Drosophila melanogaster: one gene and its partners. The protein of the gene in region 2 interacts with the protein of the main gene of each other region in a pairwise test. Each region holds a gene or a part of one and is shown on either strand. Other genes may lie near its edges.

Region 1 (4,070 bases), on a different chromosome or scaffold from region 2:
ATTTCTGGAAACGTACATGATCTTATGTAGCAAAATTACTTTTCCTCTGGTTTGCTGAAGACAAAGGTCAGGTTGCACTTGCCGCAGTAGTGACGATCTTCGTGGGCAGCCATGAAGACGCCGGCGCCGCAGTTCTCACCAGGGCACTCGCGACGGAGACGGTGGATCTTGCCGTTCTCGTCAACCTATGGAAAGGAAAGAGCATAGAAAGTGATTAAATACTGAGATCGTACACATGTTCATTCAATATAGGGCACTGGTAAAGTCACTCTGATATCCAAATCTTAAGCCAATGAGCACAAGACCAAGACTCAAGAATTCCAAGAACAGATCAGAATGTTTTCGGTATGGTGTCGGTAGATTGTTGTGTGTACCTTGTAGTATTTCAGGACAGCTAGCTTGACCTTCTTCCTCTTGTGCTTGATTTTCTTGGGAGTGGAGTAGTTCTTCTTCTTGCGCTTCTTGGCACCACCACGCAGGCGGAGCACCAAGTGCAAAGTGGACTCCTTCTGAATGTTATAGTCAGAGAGGGTGCGGCCATCTTCCAGCTGCTTGCCAGCGAAGATCAGACGCTGCTGATCTGGAGGAATTCCTTCTTTGTCCTGAATCTTGGCTTTGACATTTTCGATAGTATCCGACGGTTCGACCTCAAGAGTGATGGTCTTGCCCGTGAGGGTCTTAACGAAGATCTGCATCTTGTATTCCAGTCACCAAACTGCAAGAAACAAAAAGATGTTGGTATAGATATGTGTGTTTATATATATGGCATTGCTACAGCTAATAGTATAATAAGCTAAGAGAATCAAACGATTGTTCATGTTATTGTATATGTTTGTTTATTAAATCAAACTCTTAAATTAGGTAGCGACATTTTCGGGGTTAGACAAGCAGCACTGCATTGATAACACCATCGTTTTCTGGATTGTTCGTGACCTGAGCGTATTTGCCCCAGACAACTTTTCCCGTTTGCGTTACCAAACCCAGCTCAGAGATGTTGACTTCGATCACAGTACCCTTTGTAATTACACCCAAGGAAGTGAACATGGGCGAGCTGGGGTTCTTCTTGACGCCAATGATGGGCAGATTGAAGGTGGCTTTCAGTTCTGGATGCGTAACGTGAGCCTTCTTCATGCGCAGACCCATGGGTCGAATGAAACGCTCGAACTTTGGTGGCTTGCGTGTGAAGTTCTCACCGACGAATGTGACTTTTGTGACCATGCGCTTCCATGCCTTTCGCTTTGTCTTTCCGGTCTTTAGTACTTTGAAGACCTCAGCATCTGACTGAGCGCGTACTTTGGGAATGGGCACGTCCCACTTGCCTGCCTTCTCCTTGCGCTTCTGCTTGATCATATTGGACAGGACCTTGGCGCTGGACTGGATGCCTCTGTCGAGCAGATAATGCGGCAGGGCTCCATCCTCGACCTTCTCCTCCTGCTTTTTGACCTTCTTCTCTTCGTGGGCCTGGATCTTCTTCTTAATCTGAATCTTTTCATTGCGTCGCTCCTTATTAAAGAGTTTGGCCTTGATGCCGCGCAACTTGCGAGCCTTTCGTGCTCGGTCCTTGGGAAGACGCGCTTCCTTCTTGCGTTTCCGTTCCTCGTAATCCAATCGCCGGCCATACAGCTTGCGATGGCGTTCCATATACTCATTCTGCGGCATTGTTAATTGTTAATTCTGTAGACCAGATCTGAAATACATTCATGTGGTTATTAACATGTGGACGGTTGGGGGTGTGCGAAATTTGTTTCCTGGGGAAGCCTCTGTGGCCATCCACAGATAACTAATCACGCGGAAATTCACTTACCTTAATGTATAAATTTAAATGTCACAATATTTTTTTTGTTCACGGGTATCTTTTAGCAATTTTGATTGCTTGTCAATTTTACATGTGCACTGCAATCATTCTCATTGTTCAATCAACAATTGTCATGTATTTCACTCGTAAGAGTTTACAAGTGTTAAGGACTACTTTAAGTATGTATTTGTATGTTTATTTTCACTTAACCGATGCTTAAAATGTAACAACCCCAAAAACTTACCTTGCTTCGGCAACAGAATCAAAGGAAAGAAAGAACACACACACAGCGTGACAGGAAGTTGAAAAATTGAGCACAGGGCTGCATTCGGAGTTTACTTTTGTTTATATTTTGAACTACGCGTTTATTTTTGGAACGCGTGGAATGGAACATAAACTGGGATGAACCAGAAGCCATATCCAATACACTTTTCCTTATTACAAAAATTATAAAATAAAACAAATCAAAAAAATCATCATAAAGGAAACACAAAATAAAAATTTAAAAACCGCAAAATTTTCGTGGTCCAAAATGTGCATATACTTTTTCCAAGCACAAAAGTAGAAGCGATGCTCCAAATCCGCCTATTAAATAAAAACATGTATACAAATTTAAGTTCTAGGAAAATTTGTTAATACTCTTACAAATTAAAATAACAAATCCAGGTAGCACTCCTGACAAGCTTACAGGGTAAACGGTGTATAATGATTGACAGGCTGGCTTTTTAATTTGCCGCCGTCGAAGAATGCGCTCTACAAAACCTTTTTCCTGGGCATTACACATACTACAAAAGAAAATATAGAGTTTATTACAATTATATAACTATTATAAAATAATTATAAAACTATCTTACTTCCCAAGGAATGTTTGGGAAATATACTGATGTGGAATAAGACCGGGTTAAAAAAAAACAGTTCTTTTTGGCCAGTTAAGCAAAGACAGAATCAAACCAAAACCATGCGAATGACTCAATACTTACGCTGTTTTGAAAATCTCGGTATACTGGCTGTTCTTGTGTAAAATCCAATTCAAAATTTCGACCTCCATCAGACCGGAGACTTCACGCAGATCACAGATCTCGTTGGCATCAAAATATTCTGAAATCACCGGATAAGCGTCCACCACTTCGCAATGAAAAGCAAATCCGCCGGCTTTGAGATATGGGACAGCATCCTCAATATGGCTAAAAATTGGCAATTCATTTAAACTTCTTGACGAAGACAGCTTTTTCTCTATTAATCTTGTAATAGATCGATTTTGACTCTCCTGTTAAGTAAATCGAGTAATGGTAATATAAATATACATATAATGTTTTCAACGAACTTACTCGGAATAAGACTTTGTAGTAACCAATGTCTTCGAATGATATTTTCAAGGGGCTTGCAGTTATTTCGTCGACTGTAGAGGGACCCTGATCTGAAGAACTAAGCAATCCGCCCACGACGGAAGACGTATAATAGTTGTACATAACCAGGGAGAATAGGAACAGTGTCATTACCAAAAAGCGCACTGAACGATCTACAGGATTTGGGTCCAATCCCTGTTGGCAGCAGGCTCCAAATGTCTGTAAAATTCGTTCAATGCATGTGGTCTTAATGCAAATCACCGAACTTTTCTGATTTAAATGTTCCAGCTTTTGACTATTAACTCGTATACGCAATATCTTGTAGTCGATAATTTCAAATAGCACCCAAATGATGCTAAAAGCACCAAGGGTTAATAGACAGAACAACCAAACTCTGTCGCTGAATGGCGACAGAAAGTTACCACTTTTTCCATGAGTATCCAAATCGGAAGTGTAGCGGTATAGAAAAGCTGTCTCAAATTTCCAACTTTGGTGTATGGTATCAAACTCAGCAAAGCGATTAATTCGATTGAAGGCACCGGATGCGGCTATATCTGCCTCATTTCGCATAACTATTCCCAAGAGTCCAAGTCGAAAGGTAGTATTGCCCAAACGTCCAGCCCATCCTCTAGAATTTCGGAAGTTAACAGTGAAATTGAAACGTTCTCTCAGAAGTCCCAGAAGCTCGTAGTGATACTTTATGAATGCAGCCACTCCAGCATCCTTAGTTGGTCGCGAAAGTATTGATTCAATTTGTTCATTTGAGATTATATCCTCCTTGTCGATCTAGTATCCATAATTGAAATGGCTAAAATCTAATGAGTTATAGTACTTATTCATTACTTACAACACTTGCTCCTCTTAGAGTTAATCCATTAAATTGTCCGCGAAAATCAATACTTTGCAAATGGAAAATATCGCGAGCTATA
Region 2 (4,643 bases):
AAATAAAATTGTTTCGTCACGCCACCGCGAAGGTTGCCAGTCGCTGTCGGAATGAGGCTGGCGCACGCAAGACCAGGCCAACCGCCAACCGCCTGGAACCACCCACACCCAGCCACGAATCCATCCATCCATCCATACATCCACCAGCCCTAACCCACTTTCCCTCACGTGCTCCACCTTTACGACCTGCTCAAACATCAAGCTTATTTATTTACTCTAAAAACAATACCGGAAAATTAATAGCAATTTGTTGGGGTTCATAAATTTGTCGAAATAAATGTCCTTAACTGGCGAATGTACTTCCCCTCACTACCGCACCAACCCAAATGGGTGGAAGAGGGGTTCTTTCGGTGGTGGTGCTGCCAAATGGGTTTCACCTGCTGCAAATCGATTGTCTGACTCCTTCTCCGTTGGCCTTCTCTTATCAGCCGGGCTCGGGTGCGTGACTCCCCGTCCGGAGTTGGGTTTTAATTTTGATGACTTCAATTAACTGCGTGTAAATGCGGTGAATCCGCCTTTTCAGCGATCCAAAGTCTACACAGAAAGAAGGGATTATGTAAAAAACAATTGTTTGTTTTATATTTTTTTCGAGTTTTATTATTGTTAAAGTGAAATAGAGTTCATGTAACATGTATAATTGACACTGCACATTATGTGATCTAATCACCATAAACAAATAATTTTCTGTTATTAAAGTCACAGCTGATGACAAAATGAATCAGCTAGTAGATGTTTCATAACAAAAACTAATATTTTGTGGTATCCAAAGGATATTGTGGCTTTTCAGAATGCTCAGAAGGGTTTGTTGAGATATTAATGAAACTTTATTGAAGTTTATTGCTGCTTGTCAGCGCATGTAAACTGGTATACAAAGTAAAGAAAAGCCGGAACCCCTGAGTTGCAGCTTGTGATGGGGTGCCTTTTCCATGGATTGGGGGTCTAGAAGCGAGCCAAGTTGGGTCAAATGCAAAGTGAAGGCACATAATTCAGTTGCTCAACGACAACCGTCGCGTTCAGACGTCAATTTTAGACTACGGAGTGAAGAAGTCACAGGCTTGAAGGGTGAAAAATGTGAAACTACTACGATACACCATCTCAATAAGCCACTATAACTACTTAACAATACCGAATTTAAAATGCCGCGCAAGAAACCGAAGGTCGATACTCTCGAGGAGATCGAGACCAATATTAAACTGCTATGCGATCAATCCAATAACCACATGAAGGTTCGGGCCTACGAGAAGGCTTTGTTTGGATACAACCAGGTGTGTTGGGAAACTTACTAGCCACAGTTAAGACTAGGCAGAATTATTTCCATCAAATAATAAAGTGCAATTGGGAATACCATCTCCGAATTGCACTATAAATAATGTTTGATAAACTTTACACAAAGTGAATCATTTAAATTAGACACAGTTGAGGATATTTGAAACGGGTTTTATCGCATTTAAAAAATATGTAATTAAGATAAAAGTAATCTATGTACTTTTATTTAATTTCATAATTTTCGAAAAGTACATAAAAACGAAGGCGGTGATATTTTATGTGTTTCATTTTCACTTTTAAGCATTTAATGCTTTGTTCGTGAAGAAGGATAATCACTTAGCGGGAAAGGACATCCGCTAAAAGCTCCTGAAAGCTTCGCACAGGTTTTAGTTCACAACAAAGGAGCACAGTTTGACATTCTTAACGTAGTTGAACAAGCACCTGTAGAGTAACACCATATAGAAACACTATAGAAAGGCTTTTTTTATAGCCAAGATTGTTCAAGTGTTTAATGATAAGTTTTAGTTTACATTAAGGTTTTTTTGTTACATTTTTTTATATTACTCATACGACACGTATGCCAATTTATTCCTCTATGCTAGCAAACAAAAAACGTATTGAGAAAAGATACCGTTGATAGTTTTAGTGTTATAAAGGAGCTACTTTAATATGCGTAATTTTAAGGAAATTAAAGTCCCCCTCAAAACATATCAAGAAAGTTACTCATACGCCCCGTAAGCCAGTCATGGTTAACAAAATCCCAACTCGATTCCTTAAGCATTAACCAAAAAATTAGTTTAAAATATGATAATCTCGAGGACCACTGAGAAAAGAGGATAGATCGGAGTGGATATGCATTCTCACCTTCTAATAGGGCGTCCCCAAGGTCGTGACCCACATGGAGGCCATTGTTCTTGGCATTCACACCGCCAAACGACACGACACCTGGTGCCTGACACCTGATATGTAGCACCTGGCACAGCACGAGTGGTTGTTTTGTTATCGATTGCTAACCCATTTGGTGGCGCCAGTTTCCTGGCAACAACCCATTATAGCGCCAATCAATTGGCTAGTGATTTGGTCAGAAGTTGAGTTTTTTGGATTACTCCAATCGTCGGACGTTGAAGATTCTTCCCAGCGATTGCCAAGGGTATTATAAGGATATGTCGAACGTGCTGAACACCATTCTTGCTGTGGACAAGGAGCAGGAACTGCTGCAAAGCTTCATACGCACCGGAGCAGCGGCTGAGGAGGAGTCACAGGATGAGACCAATCGGCGGTCCAAGGGTCGCTCCCACAAGCCTCCCATCTGGGAGAGGCGCGAGTCCACTGATCGGGGCGGACGCGGTGCTGGACGGGATGGAAAGCAGGGGGATGACGGAGGAGCTGGGGGAGGAGCAGGAGGCGACGCTGCGGGCGGCAAGCGGGGCAATCGCATTGAGGCCGAACTTAGGGCGGCACGCAAAAAGATCGAGGAGCAGATCGCCAAGAAGAAGAAGCCCAAGGAGAACTTCGTCGACTTCTACACGGACAAAGATCGGGCGGCAGCGGTCAGCGCTGGTGCATTTGACATCAAGCAGAGTCTCCAGATCAAGCAGAAGCAGGACCGCAACGAGGCACTGCTCATCCCGGACGAGGCGGACATCAGTTCGGTGATCGCACTGGGGCTCAAGGAGATCAAGAATGCCAATCCCGAGAACGCCATACACTTTTTTTGCAAGGTGCTCCTGGTTTCATTATTGGAACTGTTCAGATTTCAGAGTCATCTAGTTAAGCAGGTTTTCTCTTTTTAATAGAATCTATACCGCTGTTAAGTCCCGTTTAGTTTTCTAAGATCTGCCATAACATATTAAAAACTAGCTAACAAAACCTTAAAATTTCAGGCTCTTGAGCTGAATAGCACCGACATCAATGCTTTGATTTCGCGTAGCAAGTGCTACTTGTTGCTGGGCGAGGCTTCCAAGGCACTGCAGGATGCGGAGACGGCTCTTGGAGAGGACAAGAACAACATTCGGGCCATCTACCAGAAGGCTGAGTCGCTGTACTACCTCGGTCAGTTCGAGCAGAGCCTGATGTTCTTCCATCGCGGTCTGAGGGCTCGTCCGGAACTGGCTTTGTTTCGCCTGGGCGTTCAGAAAACGCAGGAGGCCATCGAGAACACCATCGGCAGCAAGCCGGGTCCACCAGGACCAACAGCATCTGTTCCCAAGAGCGGAAAGTCACGGAAGTCCGGCGAGGATACACCTAAATCCCAGGCAGCGGGAGCAACGGGGACCAGTGCCAGGACGCGGCAGAAACCCAGTCGAGCGGATCTGGAACGACGCAACGCCCGCAAGCTGCTGGGCGAACTGTGCGTGGACAAGGAGTACTTGGAGAAGTTGCTGCTCCATCCGGATTTGGTCCGCGCGGACACACACACGGAGAGCATCTCCGCGTACGCCCGCGAGGCGGTGGAGTTTCTCAACAAACGGCAGGAGTTCTGGCGCCAACAGCGTCCCTGCACGGCGCTGCCCAACCATAAGAACCTGCCCCATGACGCTCTGCCCAAATGGTTCTAGTCCATCCAGCTGCCCAATACTACTGACTTGTTCAGCTCCCGGTGTTAAGTTTCTGTTTGAATTGAGTTGGCTTGATAAGCTGGTATTGAATAAATAAATCAATTAATTACGAAAACTCTCAGGTAATTTTACTTGACTCTTGTATTGAGTTTTATTAACTTCCAATGCATTTTGCGAATATTCACTTGGAGCAGCGACTACGACGGTCCAACTTTTTTATTTTGTAGTATGCTACTTGGTTAATCTTAGGCGTAACTTCAACTTTTGAACAGAGCAATTGGAATTTCTCAATTACATTGATATATATTTGTAGTCAACTGAAACAGAAATCCGGATGTAGCCTCAAATTGACGGAATACAACGATAGTTTAACAATGTGGAATAATATGTAATTTATCTCAATAGTTGTTCAATAACAATGGATACATGTGTTTGGGTGTGTCGCTCGAATCGGAATCTTTTACAGAGTTCTATTGCTTCTTCAGTTTTTATAACTTTACTTCATAATTTGACTAGTACGGCTATAATTTATTTAAACATTACATTTATGCAGATTAGTGTAATACTTTGTCGCCCATATACTTCATTATATTCATTCTTCGCCCTCGGCAAATCCGGTGCAATTGGGTTGAGTACGTCTGGCCAGTAAGTAAAAAAAAAAAAAAGAGAGTACCGGAGTGGGGTAGTTTGGGCTTTAGCTATGTGGAACTTATTTGTTTACTTTAAATTCAGTTTGATTCCGGCTAGAAACTATCGAAACAAACAAACAGGTAGTAACATAGATTCCATGCGAAGTGCGGATATTGCCAGGAGTTCTCC
Region 3 (3,616 bases), on a different chromosome or scaffold from region 2:
TTCGTCGACCTGCAGTTCTACAATGAATCTTCGCTATCGATACTGGCCCAGTCCATAAATGCGGGACCTGGCATGCGACCGCATAGCTTCTTTATACAATTCTCACTGACCGCGGCGCTGAATTACAGCACACAGCACCGAATGGGACCGTTGGTCAAGCTGAGCGAAGCCACCGTGTCGCAAAGCATCCATGACATTGCCGATGGTGCCGCCTTCAAGGGACTGGACGGATTTAGCGACATGTTGGCCGTCTCGGGCAGCAGGAAGGTGGCCACCGTTCTCTCCGATCGCAAGCGCAAGATGACCATTTTTGAGATGGAAATCGAGGAGGAGGAGGATGACACGGAAATGTCCCAGGCCTCGTTTCTGGACATCAGCAAAGAGTCTGTGCTGGCTGGCGTTCCCGATGCGGAGAAACAGGAGGCGTAGTCTTGAATCTATTGAATTTAAATTATATTGATTGTTGTGTGATAACTTAAAATGTTTCCAATAATTTTATATTTTACAATTCGTAAAGGCATTGGTGGTAGAAAAGAATGGTTAAAATTCTTGTTACGATTTGTCCGTTAAAATAGGGCTGAATAAATAATCTGTTACAAAGTGCTTTTGAACCAACCAACTCATCGATAGCTCTTCGATAAAAACGTACACTGACATCGCCTGACAACTGTCATCCCTAATAGCGTGCACTACACAGAGAACGAAATCAACAATGAAGAATATAAAAAATAAATCAAAGCCAAAGCGCAAGCCCACTCCCATGGAAGTAGAGGAGGCTGAGCTAGACGAGGTGCGCTCGGATGAGCCGCAGCCAGGGGAAGGTGAAACTGCGAATGGGGAGGCAAATCCCTCGGATGACGACGATGATATGGATCTGGCCAACTTTAAAGCCACCTCCAGTTCCTCGGCCCCCGCGAAGAAACGCAAGATGGGGATCATCTACATATCCAACATACCCAAGCATATGAACGTGACCCGCCTGCGGGAAATCTTGGGCGAGTACGGCGCCATCGGCAGAGTTTACCTACAGCCAGAGAAGCTGTCAAGTGAGTGGACCAAGTGGCATACATATAAGACCCACTGATTACCCACTAGTGTATATACTTTAATCTCAATTACTTTAGGTGCCAAAGCGAAGAAGAACAAGCGTAAGCGTTATAATATCCACTTCACCGAGGGCTGGGTGGAATTTAAGTCGAAACGTGTGGCCAAACAGATCGTTCCACTGCTGAACAACAAGCAGATATCCGGTCGCAAGACGTCCCAATTCTATGACTCGCTATGGAGCATGAAGTACCTGCCGCGCTTTAAGTGGGTCCATCTAACCGAGCGCATGAACTACGAGCAGGCGGTTCACAAGCAACGCCTACACACTGAGGTCTCGCAGGCCCGCAAGGAGACCACCTTCTTCCAGAACAATCTCGACAAGAGCGAGTTCATCAGGAAGCAGGCGAAGAAGGCCAAGAATGCGGAAAAGGCTCTGGCTGCCAAGAGCGACAGCGATGCCTGAGTTCGCGCTAGACTGTTGCATTCAATGTTTACCTGACTGCAAATATACTTATATTAAGTAGATCAAATAAAAATCTTTAAATAATTAGGCGCGCAAAATTATTTGAAATTAGGGCCCCTGCATATCGATAATTTCGTCGATTGTGTGTGCGTGTTAATGCTACTTCAGCTACTCAAGCTGAAGGAGGCCACTGTAACGCACAGGGATGGTTAAGATTTCTCGATTAAAATAGGGCTGAGTAAATCAAATGTTCTGTTACAAAGTGTTTTTAAAGCGATATGCTTTTCTAATGAAAGGGTACCAACACATCGATAGCTCTTCGATAAAAACGTCAACTGACATCGCCTGTCAACTGTCATACCTGATTGCGTACATTACAAAATATATTCGATCCAGCTAAAACGAAAGCTACAATGAAAAAAATAATTAATACATCAAAGCCAAAGCGCAAGTCCACTTCCATGAAAGTGGAGGAGACTAAGCTAGGCGAAGTGCGCTCGGGTAAGCCGCAGACAAAGGAAGGTGAGTCTGCAAATGGGGTAGCAAATCCCTCAAATGACGATAAAAAGGAGCTGGCCAATTTCAAAGCCACCTTCAATTCCTGGGCCCCCGAGAAGAAACGCGAGAAGATGCACAAGGTAGGCGTCATCTTAATATCCAACATACCCAAGGACATGGACGGGGACTGCCTGAAGGAAATCATGAACTTGCACAGCGTCGTCGGCAGAGTTTACGTGCAGCCGGAAACGCTGTCAAGTGAGTGGACCAAGTGGCATGCACAAATGACCCACTGATTACCCAGTATAAACTTTTATCTCAATTACTTTAGGTTTCAAGACAAAGAAGAACATGCGTAAGGGCTGGGTGGAGTTCATTTCGAAAAGTGGGGCCAAAAAAATCGCTCTAGAGCTGAACAATAAGCCTATAACCGATGGCAAGTCGTCCCGATTCCGTGGCTTGCTGTGGAAAATGAAGTTCCTGCCACGCTTCAAGTGGTACTATCTAACCGATCGCATGGACTACGAGCTGGCGGTTTGCAAAGTTCGCGTATGGTCGCAGGCCCGCAAGCGGGCCACCTTCTTGTACGATCCCGACCAGATGGAGTATTTCAAGAAGCAAGTGAAGAAGATGAAGAAGGTCAAGAAAGCGGAGATGGCTACCAGGAATGCGGAGATGGCTGCCAAGAAAGCGGAGATGGCTGCCAAGAAATTGAAGAAGTCTGCCTGAGTTCACGCTAGACCTTTGCTTCCAATGTCTACCTGACTGCAAATATACTTCAATTAAGTAAATCAAATCAAAATCTTTAAATAATTAGGCGCGCAAAATTATTTGAAATTAGGGCCCCTGCATATCGATAATTTCGCCGATTGTGTGTGCGTGTTAATGCTACTTCAGCTACTCAAGCTGAAGGAGGCCACTGTAACGCACAGGGATGGTTAAGATTTCTCGATTAAAATAGGGCTGAGTAAATCAAATGTTCTGTTACAAAGTGTTTTTAAAGCGATATGCTTTTCTAATGAAAGGGTACCAACACATCGATAGCTCTTCGATAAAAACGTCAACTGACATCGCCTGTCAACTGTCATACCTGATTGCGTACATTACAAAATATATTCGATCCAGCTAAAACGAAAGCTACAATGAAAAAAATAATTAATACATCAAAGCCAAAGCGCAAGTCCACTTCCATGAAAGTGGAGGAGACTAAGCTAGACGAGGCGCGCTGGGGTAAGCCGCAGACAAAGGAAGGTGAGTCTGCAAATGGGATAGCAAATCCCTCAAATGACGATAAAAAGGAGCTGGCCAATTTCAAAGCCACCTTCAATTCCTGGGCCCCCGAGAAGAAACGCGAGAAGATGCACAAGGTAGGCGTCATCTTAATATCCAACATACCCAAGGACATGGACGGGGACTGCCTGAAGGAAATCATGAACTTGCACAGCGTCGTCGGCAGAGTTTACGTGCAGCCGGAAACGCTGTCAAGTGAGTGGACCAAGTGGCATGCACAAATGACCCACTGATTACCCAGTATAAACTTTTATCTCAATTACTTTAGGTTTCAAGACAAAGAAGAACATGCGTAAGGGCTGGGTGGAGTTCATTTCG

Evidence for each region.
Region 1: the proteins of CG13502 (region 2) and Ip259 interact in a two-hybrid assay, tested with the Drosophila melanogaster proteins (one large-scale study listed by BioGRID).
Region 3: the proteins of CG13502 (region 2) and CG32706 interact in a two-hybrid assay, tested with the Drosophila melanogaster proteins (one large-scale study listed by BioGRID).

What each region holds. Positions count from the first base shown.
Region 1 is NT_033779.5:10,406,356-10,410,425, reverse strand, and holds Ip259 (intronic protein 259), read right to left. Parts: upstream 2,075-4,070; 5' UTR 2,040-2,074; exon of another isoform or gene 1,805-2,039; intron 1,688-1,804; 5' UTR 1,660-1,687; coding exon 880-1,659; 3' UTR 816-879; downstream 1-815. Other genes in the region: RpS27A (ribosomal protein S27A), read right to left, coding at 36-185, 375-695; Ir31a (ionotropic receptor 31a), read right to left, coding at 2,298-2,380, 2,441-2,580, 2,776-3,062, 3,124-3,927, 3,989-4,070.
Region 2 is NT_033778.4:22,085,073-22,089,715, reverse strand, and holds CG13502 (uncharacterized protein), read left to right. Parts: upstream 1-2,294; 5' UTR 2,295-2,429; coding exon 2,430-2,987; intron 2,988-3,149; coding exon 3,150-3,824; 3' UTR 3,825-3,934; downstream 3,935-4,643.
Region 3 is NC_004354.4:9,085,273-9,088,888, forward strand, and holds CG32706 (uncharacterized protein), read left to right. Parts: upstream 1-1,856; 5' UTR 1,857-1,971; coding exon 1,972-2,266; intron 2,267-2,339; coding exon 2,340-2,737; 3' UTR 2,738-2,801; downstream 2,802-3,616. Other genes in the region: APC4 (anaphase promoting complex subunit 4), read left to right, coding at 1-429; CG32708 (uncharacterized protein), read left to right, coding at 713-1,046, 1,125-1,510; CG6999 (uncharacterized protein), read left to right, coding at 3,199-3,493, 3,567-3,616.